Linked DNA regions of Caenorhabditis elegans. The protein of the gene in region 1 interacts with the protein of each later gene in a pairwise test. Each region holds a gene or a part of one and is shown on either strand. Other genes may lie near its edges.

Region 1 (4,096 bases):
CTAACGTCTTCGTAAGAAGACAGCCCAAGTCCACATTTGGTGTTCCGTATGTGATTGCTCAGAGATTTCTGAGAATGTAATTACTTGAACTGTTGCACCTTGCGCAATTCCTGAAAAAAAATGGATCCTTTATTAATTAATTTGTGAAAATTTTACAGTACCTGAGAATAAACTGGCACAAGAGCTTGAGCTTCAGGCAGGTCCATTGATAAGAGAGTAGAGGTGAAGGAATAAATGAACCCGCGCAGAGTGTTTTGGTGGGGCGCAATTATCGATTTGGCGCGCGGTATTGGCAGAGAGCAAATGGGAAGGAGAGTGAAGAAGATGTAGATAGAAAAAGAAACTATGCGTAGTTTGATCTACCAGTCCTGTATTCTGAAGACCAACTAATTGTTTGATTACTCCATAAAATCAGTGATCACGATAGAATAGGGTACTGTAGGTTACCGTAGTTATCAACAATTATCAGTTTCCTTCAAGGGCGAGAACGAGATTCATTGAGTACTTTTAACAAGAAAAAATATTAATTAAGCAGTAGAATCTTATCAATTAAGTTCCTATGCCACCAAAATCATGACTCGCAGTGATGATGTGCATGGTGAACACGATCTTATTTCCACATTCTGCTCCACAAATTGCACATTTGAATGGGCTTCCTGGCGCGTGAAGGGCGTTATGCATGATGCTCATTGTGGCATCGTGGAACTTGATCGTGCAGTGCTTGCATTCCTGAAGAGCTTTTGAGTTGATGAAAGTGTACTTTGAAACTTAAGAACTTACAAAGCTTGGGGTTGGCTCACTGGTAATTAGATTTCTAAACCTTGGCTCATTGGGGCTTAGAGTTGGTGAGAGCTGTTGATCAGTGTTTGGAAGAGTTGCCTGAAAATTTCAAGTCTAATGGTTTCAAAGAACGGCACCAAAACCAATATTGAAAATGAAAACATACCGAGTTCTGTTCACAGAATTCTTCGATCATCGGGGAAGTTCCTAGATTTATGCTCAATTTTTGAGGCGGCTTCTCTTGTGGCGAGATTGCCAACTGAGCTCTGGGACTTCCTGAAGTTGATACGGTGATAGGTGACAGTCTGGCGGAGCTTGTGGGAGCAGGAGCCGAAGAGCGCAGAGCCTGAAAGGATTGTTAAGTCTTAAAGAATTATAAAGCTTTTCACCTCTTTATGATCAAAATGGTAGTGTACCAGGAGATGCCTAGGACTCCCGAATAACTTGTGGCATTTTCCACACGGAGCCGATTCGCTGTATGAAAAGTGGTGATGGTTTACGAGATGATTTTCAACGCCCTCATAGAATACGAACTGCATTGAACAGTTCAACACGGGACAGTCGAAATGTGATCTTTCCTTGAGATGGTTGTGCAGGTGCCTTTGAAGCTGAAAATTACAAATTGCTGGAATTGAACAGGAAAAATGGAATAAAATCTGCTTGCCTGATCTTCCCTGAAGAATGTTCTCTGGCAAGTGCTGCACTTCTTGGATTTTGAACCAGAGTGAGTTATTTGATGACGCTTCAAGTTTGGCTTGTTGGTGAATTGTTTCTCACAATTTTCACATCTGAATTTGTGATTGACCTGAAAAAACGTATAGTTGGAGGAGGAGAAGCTCAGTGGCTTAAACATTTTCTCAAAAACTCACCACATTGGAACGTCCAGGCCTACACGTAATGTGCTTCATGTGCGTTCTCAGCGTTTTCTGAAAAATGGTAGTGAGCTCTATATACTAACTAGCAAAAAAAGGAAGATTATCTGCTGTACAGTAAATTTTGTAAAATTAAGATAAATTAACAACACTTTTTTGCTCACTTCAAAAACTAACCTGATTCGCGAACTTTCTTTTGCAAACTTGACACTGGGGCACCTTAGCAGAATCCTGATCCAAAGTGGAAGAGGTTGCAATAAGCGACAATACGGCGTCTAGTGATGACAAACTCATTTTCACAGAAGAAATCTCTGCGGATTGTCCGAGGGCAGGGAGGAAGGGGAGTGAGAAATGTTTTTGCGTAGTTGCAAAAAGAGGTACATAAGTTCAAAGACTGTGTCCTCGAAAGCTGTGAGAAGTTGCGTCACATATGACGTTGGGGCTTTTGGAGAAGCGGGGCCGACGAATTTATGAAATGTGTGTAATTGCACATTGTAGAGCTGATTGAGTTTTTCAGTATCTCAGTTTTTTCAGTAATTTCTCCATTGACGATGCACCTTCTTTGGGGGGAATATTGTAATCTTTAACAAAATTCACAACATTTTTGGAAGACCAGCTGCCAACTGTGCCAAATTTGCCGGGAAACGAGACGCTGCATTATGCATTATTTTATCGATCCACTAAGATTATCTCCTAGCGTTATTCACTCATAATCTGCCTCTACAAGTCTTCCTATTCGTCATTTTTCTGCAATTTAGTAGGTTAGTAGACATGCTCGTTATAACAAAGGAATTTGTGTCAACTTACACTATTAAAGCAATCTCCAACTTCAAGCCGGATACCACTTATTGCAGCGAGGTTAAAGAATATTACTATATTCCATGGTATTTTTAACTTTCCTTTTTTTATTTAAATTTTTATATTTCCAGGAAACTCCATGTCAATCGAAGAACTGATCAACTTGAGGTGTATCTTAGTTGCGACCAACTTGGCACAATTTGGTCAGTTCAGGCGAATGTTGAAGTGAAGCTTAGATCTCCCAATGAATCTCCCCACTGCAAAACAGCCACTGTAAATTTCAATAGTGAGAAGCCGAAGGAAAACTCATGGGGATGGAAGCAGTTTGCCGATTGGGAGAAAGTCGCAAAAAACTTTGTGATTGAAGATGCGCTACACTTTAAAGTTCATGTTCAAATATTGAACGCTTCTGGGTTCAAGGGAAGAGATCCGGTTTTGAAGTTCGACAATGAGTCTATGGGAGAGCTGTCCGATGTGGTTTTGGTAGTGGATGAGCAGAGATTTCATGTTCTGAGAAAGCATCTCGCTCTGCAGTGCTCCTACTTCAAATCCTTGTTCTTTGGCAGTTTCGGCGAGTCGAAGAAATCAGAGGTTACCCTCTCTGGGATAGACCCGGAAGCCTTCCAGGCATTTTTGGAAGTTCTCTATTTGGAGGACTCGATTGATGGTTAGTTTTTAGTGCTCACATTGGTAATAATTTAAAAATTTCAGACAATACCGTCGAAGGAATCCTTCAACTTGCTGACATGTACGATTCTAGAGCGGTTATTGGGAAATGCGAGAAATTTCTTTACAAGGAGTCCGAGAAGTCCGGGAAAAAGAAATTGGAATTGGCAATTAGATACAAGTTGGAGAAACTAGAGGTAAGTGCGTGCACCTGAATATAACCTTATTTTATCTTCCAGATTCACTGCTGCAACACCATCAAAACCATCCAAGATGTCCGCTCAATTATCGCTGGAAACATTGATGAAATGAGCCCATTCCTGATGAAGCGGGTCTTGAAGCGAGTTCTTGAAGTTTAAAAATTGTTCGTTTTCAAATATGAATTGCATTTTTCTAATAACTGATTTTTGGCCACTATTTTTTCTCTGTTTTCAATTGTAAAGTTTTATTTGCCAGTACAAAAAATAAATTTACGTTTTCTTTATATTATATTGATGAGAAAATTTGAAGACTTACAGAAGAAATTCAAATCATGAACCAGACCAAACCAGAAAAAGTCAAGTCAAGAATTCAAGAAACTTTTATCTAGCATTTCATAAAGTATTTTGATAAGACATATACATAGTTATATTTTGTGGAGTTTAAAAATATAGTTTTGAAAAGTGAAGTTCAAAAACATAGAAAAATAAGAAGTTAGAGGTTTCGAAAATAAGCTTAATTCGAAAGACTCGAAAAAAATCTCAAAAACTGGAAAAAATTGAAGATTTCAATCGTCGGACGGTGTTTGACAGTAACTCGTCGTCGTCGTCGTAAATAGAAGTAGTGTTGATTAGAAAAAACGATGGAATAAAGAAATCAGAACCTCCAAATAGAAAAAGTTCCATGAATGTTTTTAATTCGATAGGCACGCATGCCATGAACATCAGATTCCTCGGCTGAATTAGGCATTAGTAGCTCTGGGCTAGAGTGGGGATAATCAT
Region 2 (4,213 bases), on another chromosome or scaffold:
GTCAGCCACATGTGAATTTCCGGATAAAAGTTCAATTATTACATCTTGAGGTTCGAGAAACTGATCCGTATCCCTGGCCGGGGCTTTTCTCTTTCTGGAGACCTCGACCATTCCTCGCCGGGCTTGATCGATTCGTGACTGCAATCTGAATGATTTTTTTCATTTAAAAAAAAATTAAAAAAGAATAATTATTCAATTTCCAACACCTTTCCCGACTCTGAATTTGCTCCAAAATCTCCGTCTCTACGTCTTGAGCTCGCATTTTCTCACGAACTGCCGTCTCCCAATTGTCGGCGGTGGTGATTTTATCGCATTCCGTGATTTTCGTGTGAACCTCCCCGAGCCGTGTGCTCAAATCAGTCGAAATTCGTAGTTCTTCAGCTTCCAGCCACGTCATCGTCGAGCACAACACGCTGAGCGACTTTCCGGTGCCTGTTGGAGATTCGAAAATGCCAATTTTCCGTTGTTCAATGCATTGGCGGATTTCTCGCATCAAATTGAGTTGAATGTCGTATGGTTGAAATGGAAATGAGAATTCGTCCATTCTGCTGGGATAGAGTGAGAGATCATTTATTTCGGTGAGTTTTTTTTTTGTAATTGAAGAATAATATATAAGAAGATAAAAATATATTCGGGATTTTCAACTGGGAATTCGATTTTTAGCTGAGAGTTTAGAGAGCGGAAAAATTCATGAAACATTCACAATAAGTCAAATAGGACCCAAAGCGATTTTCACGCCAAAAATACGGTGCCTGGTCTCGCAACGAAACATGTTTGTTAAACGCGAAAATTTGTGCGCCTTTAAAGAGTACTGTAGCTTCAAACTTTTGCTATTGCGGATTTTCGTCGATTTTTCGTAGATCACAATCAAAACCCAAAAAAACTTTAACAAATGCTGGGAAAAACTATGAAAACCTGATAAAAATCGTTAAAGGCGCACACTTTTTCGCATTTATCATACATTTTTCTCTTCGAGACCGGATACCGTACTTTTGGCGCAAAATTTCGCGTATGGGTAATAACGGCAAGGGAATTTTGCAAATTTACAGCAAATTTAGACGAATTTCGTGGTAATTAGCTTTAAAAAAAATACAAAAATCCCACATGTAATTTCAAATTAAAATAAGATACAGATACAACGATTAAAAAATGCTTGGATGCTGCTCAATTCGATCAATAGTTTTTTGATAGGCCTCCATAAGCCGATCATAATTCTGTGAGAGCGTCGAGAACTTGGTTTCCTCATCCATTTGTCCACAGGCCGCTTGTCGAAGCTCATCGGGTGTCAACGCGAGATTCAGACGCTTCCAGTCCTGATCCGATTTCTTCATTGGTGCATACAACCGACGTTTCACATCGATTCTCTGCGCTTTCAGCTCTTCTTTATCCTTCTTATTTGTAGCACGATAACGCAAAATTTCATAGACTCGACGGGCTTGTTGTCTGGAAATCTTGAGCTTTTCCAGTGCGGCCTGACGCATTTTGTCCGAGTATCCCCTCTTGAGATTCTCCGGTGCAAATTCCCGCAGTGTCATGCAGTTGACACAATCCACATAGTCACGGAGGCTGACGAACTGATCTCCGGGAGACTCGACGGTTACGTCGAAAACTTCTGGAGAGGCACGAAGATCTCGCAGGAAAGATTCCATGAAACTGGCTCCAATTCCAGATTTTCTGTATTGAGGGAGCAATAGCATCTGTGCAATTCGTGGACGGATCCTGTCAATGTAGTTGTAGAATTTGAAGAGTGTCGCGTAGCCAGCCACGTTGGCCACAGTACTTCCATCTCCTTCACCGGTGTCGCAGCGTTCGTAGCTGGAAAATTGAAAAATATTTGAAATGCGTTCGATTTTTTGTAATTTCTGGAATTCGCCGCGAAATCTTCTCAACTTACATAAAATAGTGAAGCCAATTGTCTTCAGTGTTATCTGTCAGTGAGCAGCACTCGATGAAGCTGAAAAAAAAATTTTGTAGGAAAATCCTTATTTTTTAAGCACTCACAACATGCCGAGAGTCTGGATTCTTTCTAGGAAAAGGTTGAACTCTTCGGTTTGCTCGGCGACTTTGTAGACCTCGTAGCTCTTTCCTTTCAGCTCAAACTTGTGTACCATCTCACCGAAAGGCTTGAAATCCTTCTGTTTGATGAGCTTCTGCTGGAATTCTTCTTTTCCCGAAACCAGAACATTCGGACGAACGTCTGGATGAACCAGCTTATCAATGACGTCATCGGCCTCCAGTCCGTTTTCGTTTTTCGCTTTTGAGGAATAGCTCACGTTTATGTAGCTGTAGAGGGTTTGAGCTGTGTGATGGATGGTAACCTCGAGATCTTCGTAGCCGAAGATTGTCTCCTCATCTCCGAAATGCTGATAGACCATCTCTGGTTCGTAGCGTGGCGCAGTACTGATTTCTTGCATGTTTTTTACTGAAAAATGGGAACTTTCAAGCGAAAATTCGGTTAAACTCTTACAAAATGTCATTTTAACGACAGCAAGTCCGTCGGAAATGTATCTCCGATTGCGATTGACATTCGTGACGTCCTCCATAACCATGCTGAAACTGTTAAAGAGTTGAAAACGCCATTGAACCTTGAAAATCGCGAAACAAGACGATATTTAATCAATTTATTTACCGATTTTGCGTGGAAAATGAGAAAAAATGAAGGAATTCCGACGAAAATAAAAGAATAAAATTTAAAAAAGTTTCCCGCGGGCTTTCTCACTTCGTAAATCGACACAAAAGTGTCTCTTCGCGGCGAGACCCGTTGACTTTCGCAACCTCTCATAAGAGATGGCGTTCTCTCCGACTGTCTGAGTGTCGCGCGTCTCTCACGGCCACACACTCTCTCGTCGCGCTTTTTTCGAAATACGCCGTGCGAGTTGGCACGTTGCCAGGGATCTTCTGATGGATCCGTGCTGTTTTTCACGCCTCCGGGTGAATTTTTATCGATTTTTCAGAAATTTTTCGCTTATCTCCCGGAATTTTCATCCCAAAACGGATAAATTGATTGATCAAGTTGATTCGTGAAGTTTAGTTGCATCATAAAAATTATAAACAAACAAAAATATCGAATTTCAAGCGTTTTCCCCGTAAAATGTCTCATTTTTATTGTGAAAAATGGCGCAAAACCGCATTATTTTGCTCTAATTGCCCGGGTTTCGCGGTTTTCTCACGATAATTAGATAAAAAAGAGTTAATTTCCATAGTTCGGCGGATTTTCGAGAATTTTTGTTGTTTTGTTCAATTAAAACTTTGTTAAAATCAGAAATTAAGTTTTTTAAAACTCGTTGTGAGATTTTTCATCGCAAAATTTATAAATTTTTCCTATTTATATAAAAGTTTTGCTATTTTACCATTTTTCCGTTATATTTTTGTTGAAAACAACCAAATTTCATTGGAATTTTTTGAAAAATATCAAAAAGAATTGGTTTTTTCAACGGTTTTAATGTAAAAATATTTTTTTTCAATCGAATTTTCTCTCACAAATCCGCTCAAAATTGTCAAAAATCATTTTTAAAAAATCGAATTTTCAGAAGATTCCAAGCAACAAGTTGATGGGAAGACCATCAAATAATGCATGAGCGTTCGACAAGAACAGGTAAATTAAATTCCACTGAAAATTTCTGAAATTTCACGGATTTTCCATGTGAAATGTCCTCTAATCCATATCAGAATTGAAGGAAAACCTCGGACCAACAACGTTTTCAAATACGAGCAACATCAGCAGAAGTATCCCATCGGATTGTATGGTGATAATAGGTGGCACAATTCCTGCCTCACATCACTCGTTCCCTGGTATGGAACATGATCGTTCATTGTTCGATGCGTCGTCTTCTTCTTCAAATGGAGGAGGATTATCGCAATTTGTTGAGCAACGTGATACAAATGACGATGAACGAGAGATTGAGGTAAAAAATTGGCGTTTTTTAACCCTAGAAACTGGATTTCTAACTGATTTTGTGGAGAAATAAAATAAAAATTAAATTTTAAGTTAGTTTTGTTGAAAAAATGGATTAAAAAAGGTTTTAATCTAATTTTGTCCAAAAAATCTAAAAACATGATTTCCAACCAATTTTGTCAAAAAAAAAGAATTTTAAAAATGATTTTAACCTAATTTCTCGATAAAATGTATCAAAACATGATTTTAATTTAATTTAGTCGAAAAAATATATTAGAAACATGTTTTGAAACTAATTTTTCCATTAAATAGATTTTT
Region 3 (5,090 bases), 8.7 Mb from region 1:
ATATTTCTAGTCTCATTAGGAAATTCATTTTTCATTTTTAAAAAAATTGCTGACGCATTTCTCAAGCACAAACATCTGCTTGCAAGTTTCACTCATTTCTTTTTTCGTTTGCTTCAAGCTCATCACTCTTCACAATTTTTTGTTATTTTTCAGAGAACATATAATATGATCATAGCATTTTTAAACTCTACAGAAACTCTATGGATTCCAGTTTTCTCTTTAAACGACAGAGTTTACGAGTCCCCAATTTACCCTTTTTTCGCAGCAATCCAAATTCTCATTTACTGCTCCACGGCATATATTATTGTAAGAACTTGCAAAATCATCACAAAAATTCGACTTTTCCACGAGAACAAGAACATTTTAATGGCGTTCTTTTTGTGCCAATGGTTTGAGGCGATTCTCGCCAAAATTCTTATACTTCCCTATCAAATTGGCTTAATTCAAATCGGAAATTCACCCGGAAAATCATATTTTTCCTGGTGGAGCAGCGGACGAAATGATATGGTTTTGGTGGAGAGCACTGATGATATAAGGGTATTGTACATAGCATGCTATGTTTACAGACATTATATGTTTTCCATGTTTTTTGGAATTATGGCTATTGGTGTGGAAAGAGCATGTGCGACGTTTTATATTCAGTGAGTTTTTTGAAAATTCAAATTTGAAAATTAGTCTTAAAATCTTAATCTCTGAAAAAAATTAGACCAAATTTAATTTTTTTGATGAAATAAATTTTAAGTTATGCTCCAAAGTATTTTAACATTTTAAAATTTCCAATTTGGCGCCAGATACAGGAACGTTCAATTGTATATTTTCCAGCGACTACGAGCACGTACGCCGTCGCCATATCCCAGTAATCCTTATCATACTAGTTAATATTATTACAATTCCATATGTCTATTTTGTGATCCATAACCGGATACCATTCCTCGTAGTTTATGGTCAATGGGCGGTTTGCATTGTGTTATCCACGTCAGCCTACGCTACAATTCTTCGAATCAATTTCGTGTTCCGAAATCAGATGCGGAAGAATATAACCGACCATGAAAAATATTCATTGGCGAGAAAGTTTCAAGTTGAGGAGAATATTCGAAGCTTGAAGGTGAGGAAAAGTTAGGCCAGCGAAAGCAAGACCGAGGATGTTGTCTAGCAAAAGTTAGGCCATCAATTGTGTACCCAAAGTCCTAGAAAAGTCAAAAATTCATAAAGTCATGCTATTTTTGTCTCGGCCAAATTTTTAACTTTACAAAAGTTAGGCCATCCCATCAGCTTTCGTTTAGAAAAACCTTGGCCAGCGAAAAGTTAGGCCAACGAACTTCTCTCTTCCAGCTCGCCAAGTACACAGTTCTCGTGGGCTCCGTGCACATTTCCCTAACTCTCCTCGTGTTCACCTGCCTCATGCTCGGATTCTTCGAAAGACTTCAAGTGTTCTTCGTTCACATACTAGAGAATCTCATCTTATTGTGAGTCGATTCACCATAATTTTTCAACAAAATTAATTAAAAAAAAAAAATTTCAGACCAGCCTTAGTAATGGCAGTTGCTCTTTTATGTTGCTCGGTGGCTTGGCGACACGAGTTCATGCAAAAGTTGCCGGTATTGGGGAAACATATTAGTGGGACATCGAGAATTGGGATTTCGGAGTCTAGGAGATCAGTTGTTTTGGAATCTGAAGTGTATTTCCAGCAATTGAGAAGCTCGTGGAACTGAAATTTGTTGTCATAGCTGAGGTTTTATAATTGTGTTTTTTTTGGAATTGTTTAAAAATTTTTAGGCTCCGAAAAAATATTTTTCATAAATTTTTGAAATATTCCCTCCTGTTTTTTCTCCGTCCATCTGCCAAGTTAGCACCCCCAACAGCCATAAAATGTACTTACCCGCAACTTGGTACATACCCTCTTCCCGCCTGCGCTTGTAAAAAACTGGGTGGAGTCTCTCTCAATGTACCAAGTTAGTCTCAATGGCGTGTATTCGGTGTAATTCCTCTATTTTTCTGTCTCACTCTCTGCAATCTTCTCGGTGGAAAATGAACGACACAGAATATACGGCTCATATTCTCGCGAGAACCATCAGGACTGGAGACGATAAATTGGTAAGTTTTAAAAAAAAAAAATTTAAAATTAATCTTTCATACAACTGGTTGGTGTTTGGAAAATAGAAAAAAAACAAGTTTTTGGCGAATTTTTGAACTGAAAATTTTATTTAAAAAAAATTAAGCTTTGAATTTTTTAGTCTTGGAATAAAAAGATTCTCAATGCTTCAATGAACAACTTTTTTTTTTGAAATTTTTTGAATGCAATTTGAAAAAGTTACAAAGAAAAGTTGTTCAAAAAAACATTGCCATGTGTGGAATTTTTTTTTGCAAGCCACCTAAAATTTAAAAAAATCTACAAATTTTCAAAGCTTTTATATGTATTTTTTAATTAGAAACGTTTATTAAAAAACTCAAAATATTGATGTTTGGAAAAATAAATTTAAAAAAAAACATTTTAAAAACTGAAATTGTAAGGAAAGTATTTTTTAGAATTTTTTGGGCGGATTTTTGAATTCAACCAAGAACTCATTTTTTGAACGAACATTCATTTGAAATTTGACATGATATTTTGTGGGTTAAAAATTGTTTTTTTCACTCAACTATTGAAACCTCAAAGTTCAAAAGTTAAGTGAAAATCTGGAAAAAGTTTGAAAAAGTTTCTAGAAAACCAGATTTTTTGCAAGCAGCGTGAATTTTTTAAAATGAAATTCAGAAAATCGTCCCATAATTTCCTTAATCGTCCCATAATTTCCAGATAACCAAAGCCTTCTCACAGCTGAAATTTGGCACTGTACCTATGGATATCCTGGAGCAACACAACTTCCCATACATTGTGCAGCGACATGCTCCAAACAACCAGCTAGCACTCTCCATGGCCTCCAACTATCAAAACTTTAAACTCCAAAAAATCGAACACGAAAAGCCTTGGATGTTGAAACGGTTTGCTGACAGTACTTTCGAGGAGTACCCCGACGGAATAGTCTCGGTGCACACGCTGAAGCTGCTCACCGCCGTCTCCTTCTTCACCGACCTGGACTTTGTGAAATGCTCATTTTCCATTCTGAGCAGGCTTGACCTGTTGGTTGAGGATTTTGAGAAGTATGGAATTCTGGAAAGAGCCAAAGTTTTTGAGCATCAAATTCAAGAAGCCGCATGGCTGGTGCGAAAATATCAACGTCTGAAAGATGAGGTAGAGTCTGAAGTCGAGGAGGAATCGGAGGAGACTGAAGTTGCTCCAAGTTTGGACAGAAGGTATCCACCTATACACGGAGATTTTACACATAATAGGATGGAAATCGAGATGATATTTTTGGCTCAGTGCATTAAAGCAGGAAATGAGGAAATGGTAGGGGTTTTTGATAGATATTTTTTTTCAGAACCTTCAGAGATTTTTCAAAAACTATTGAAGACTTCTCGCCGAAATTCTACAAAAAATTGGCGATTAACTGAAATTTTAATAATTATGAAATTTGGGCCCACTTCAGTTTGAAGGTATTGAAGCTTAAAAAAATTTAGGCTCAGGTTAAGGATTAGACTTAGGCTTAGGCTTTGGCTTAAGCTTGAGCTTAGGCTTAAGCTTGAGCTTAGGCTTAGGCTTAACCTTACAAATGTTAGGTTTAGTCTTATGTGTAGGCTTAAAATAAGGCTTAGAATAAGGCTTATGATGTGGCTTCTGATTAAACGTATGATTAGGCTTATGCGTAGGCTTGGGCTAAGGCTTAGGGCCTGTCTTAGACTTAGCGTAGGTTTCCGCTTAGGCTTAAGCATAGGCTTACGATTAGTCATATGCTTAAGCTTAGGTTTAGGGCTTCGGCTTAATTAATCCATAATTAAGAAAATCCGAGAATATACTTTTAAAACTCCAAAACCTCCGTCAACTTCTCCAAAAAACATTGAAAAATTTCCAGATATCCACCGCCATAGAATTTGTCGGTACAGACGAGCTGCCGCTGGAATTCTACCGAAAATACGACATTGCTCTTTCGTGTCACCTCTACTGCCCAGAACAGGAAGATTGCAAGCACCTGATCGACTTTATCGAAGAGATGGAAGAAGTCGGTATGCAATGGGAGAATTTGGAAGCTCTGGAAAGATACTTACGCGAGAACTCGGAGCTCGGGCTTGTGCCCGATAGTGTGATGACGCTTTTGATGGGATATTTCAAAGGTGATAGGTACTTGGGTGATGAGGATTGGAAGGACTATTTTGTAAGTTTTGGAAGCTTGCAAAATGTTTAAATAAAGCTTTTTGTCTTCAGGTCGACCCAATTTGCAACTTCTTCCTGTCACAGGACGTCTCGCTGGATCAATTCGAACGATTCGATGTGAAGAATATTCTTGTCAAATTTGAAGAACGAGCAACTAAACCTGTGAAGCTTGTGCTGCAGAAGATTGAAGATCTCAAGTCCGCTTAATCGAAAATAATTTATTTGAACCTGTTTTTCCAAAGTTTTTGGTTTTAATATCATTAAATGAAATGTGTTTTACTCCTGAATTTCTAATTTCTGAAAAAAGAACAAAACAATTAAAATAAAATATAATAGTTCTGAAAAAAAAATCAGAAAATCTTTATCATGCTCATAATCAAATCAATATCCAAAAAGACGTTTAAACGATTCGAACATTTTCTGGCCCGACGGAACTTGCTGGTTTTTGGTGATTTTCAACGGAATCCCGTGGTCCTTCATTTCCAAATCAGGCAGGATGAAGCCAACAAGCCCGGCTTGATTGTTGAGATTGTCATCGACTTTTTCCGCGTGAATTTTCCGGACCAGGCTGATTTTTGCACGTGGACTATCGTTTTCCTGAAAATTTGAAATATGAGTTTGAAACATTTGAAAAATTTGCAATGAATTTTCGCGACCTCTCTAGCCTTGACAACTTTCAGCTCCACATCCATTCTTCCACTGGACACTATGAGCTTCTCGATATCCGCCACCATTTCCTCCAGAAACTTCTGCTCCACCTCGAACCGCTTGGAAAATTCCACTTTCTTGCTTTGGGTCGAGCTTTGTGGCGGGTGATGCATTGCCTGGCAGAAGTCGAAATCCGAAA

What was found. Proteins that work in one complex are often made in the same cells at the same time.
Region 2: the proteins of sdz-12 (region 1) and hat-1 interact in a two-hybrid assay, tested with the Caenorhabditis elegans proteins (one large-scale study listed by BioGRID).
Region 3: the proteins of sdz-12 (region 1) and Y57A10B.6 interact in a two-hybrid assay, tested with the Caenorhabditis elegans proteins (one large-scale study listed by BioGRID).

The regions. Positions count from the first base shown.
Region 1 is NC_003280.10:3,729,603-3,733,698, forward strand, and holds sdz-12 (Zinc finger protein sdz-12), read right to left. Parts: upstream 2,222-4,096; 5' UTR 1,947-2,221; coding exon 1,830-1,946; intron 1,707-1,829; coding exon 1,650-1,706; intron 1,586-1,649; coding exon 1,445-1,585; intron 1,389-1,444; coding exon 1,170-1,388; intron 1,127-1,169; coding exon 947-1,126; intron 880-946; coding exon 781-879; intron 730-780; coding exon 550-729; downstream 1-549. Other genes in the region: bath-31 (BTB domain-containing protein), read left to right, coding at 2,424-2,536, 2,582-3,117, 3,162-3,313, 3,356-3,475. UniProt on the Caenorhabditis elegans protein: Together with ehn-3, may play a role in gonadogenesis.
Region 2 is NC_003281.10:10,404,693-10,408,905, forward strand, and holds hat-1 (Histone acetyltransferase type B catalytic subunit), read right to left. Parts: upstream 2,557-4,213; 5' UTR 2,550-2,556; coding exon 2,468-2,549; intron 2,423-2,467; coding exon 2,002-2,422; intron 1,955-2,001; coding exon 1,895-1,954; intron 1,816-1,894; coding exon 1,143-1,815; 3' UTR 556-1,142; downstream 1-555. Other genes in the region: ATP-dependent DNA helicase chl-1, read right to left, coding at 43-145, 207-544; M03C11.3 (PH domain-containing protein), read left to right, coding at 3,571-3,595, 3,670-3,905.
Region 3 is NC_003280.10:12,388,128-12,393,217, forward strand, and holds Y57A10B.6 (SEC-C motif-containing protein), read left to right. Parts: upstream 1-1,955; 5' UTR 1,956-2,028; coding exon 2,029-2,094; intron 2,095-2,791; coding exon 2,792-3,382; intron 3,383-3,944; coding exon 3,945-4,244; intron 4,245-4,294; coding exon 4,295-4,450; 3' UTR 4,451-4,535; downstream 4,536-5,090. Other genes in the region: sre-41 (Serpentine Receptor, class E (Epsilon)), read left to right, coding at 166-641, 823-1,105, 1,333-1,466, 1,523-1,712; Y57A10B.7 (Gag protease polyprotein), read right to left, coding at 4,625-4,840, 4,900-5,090.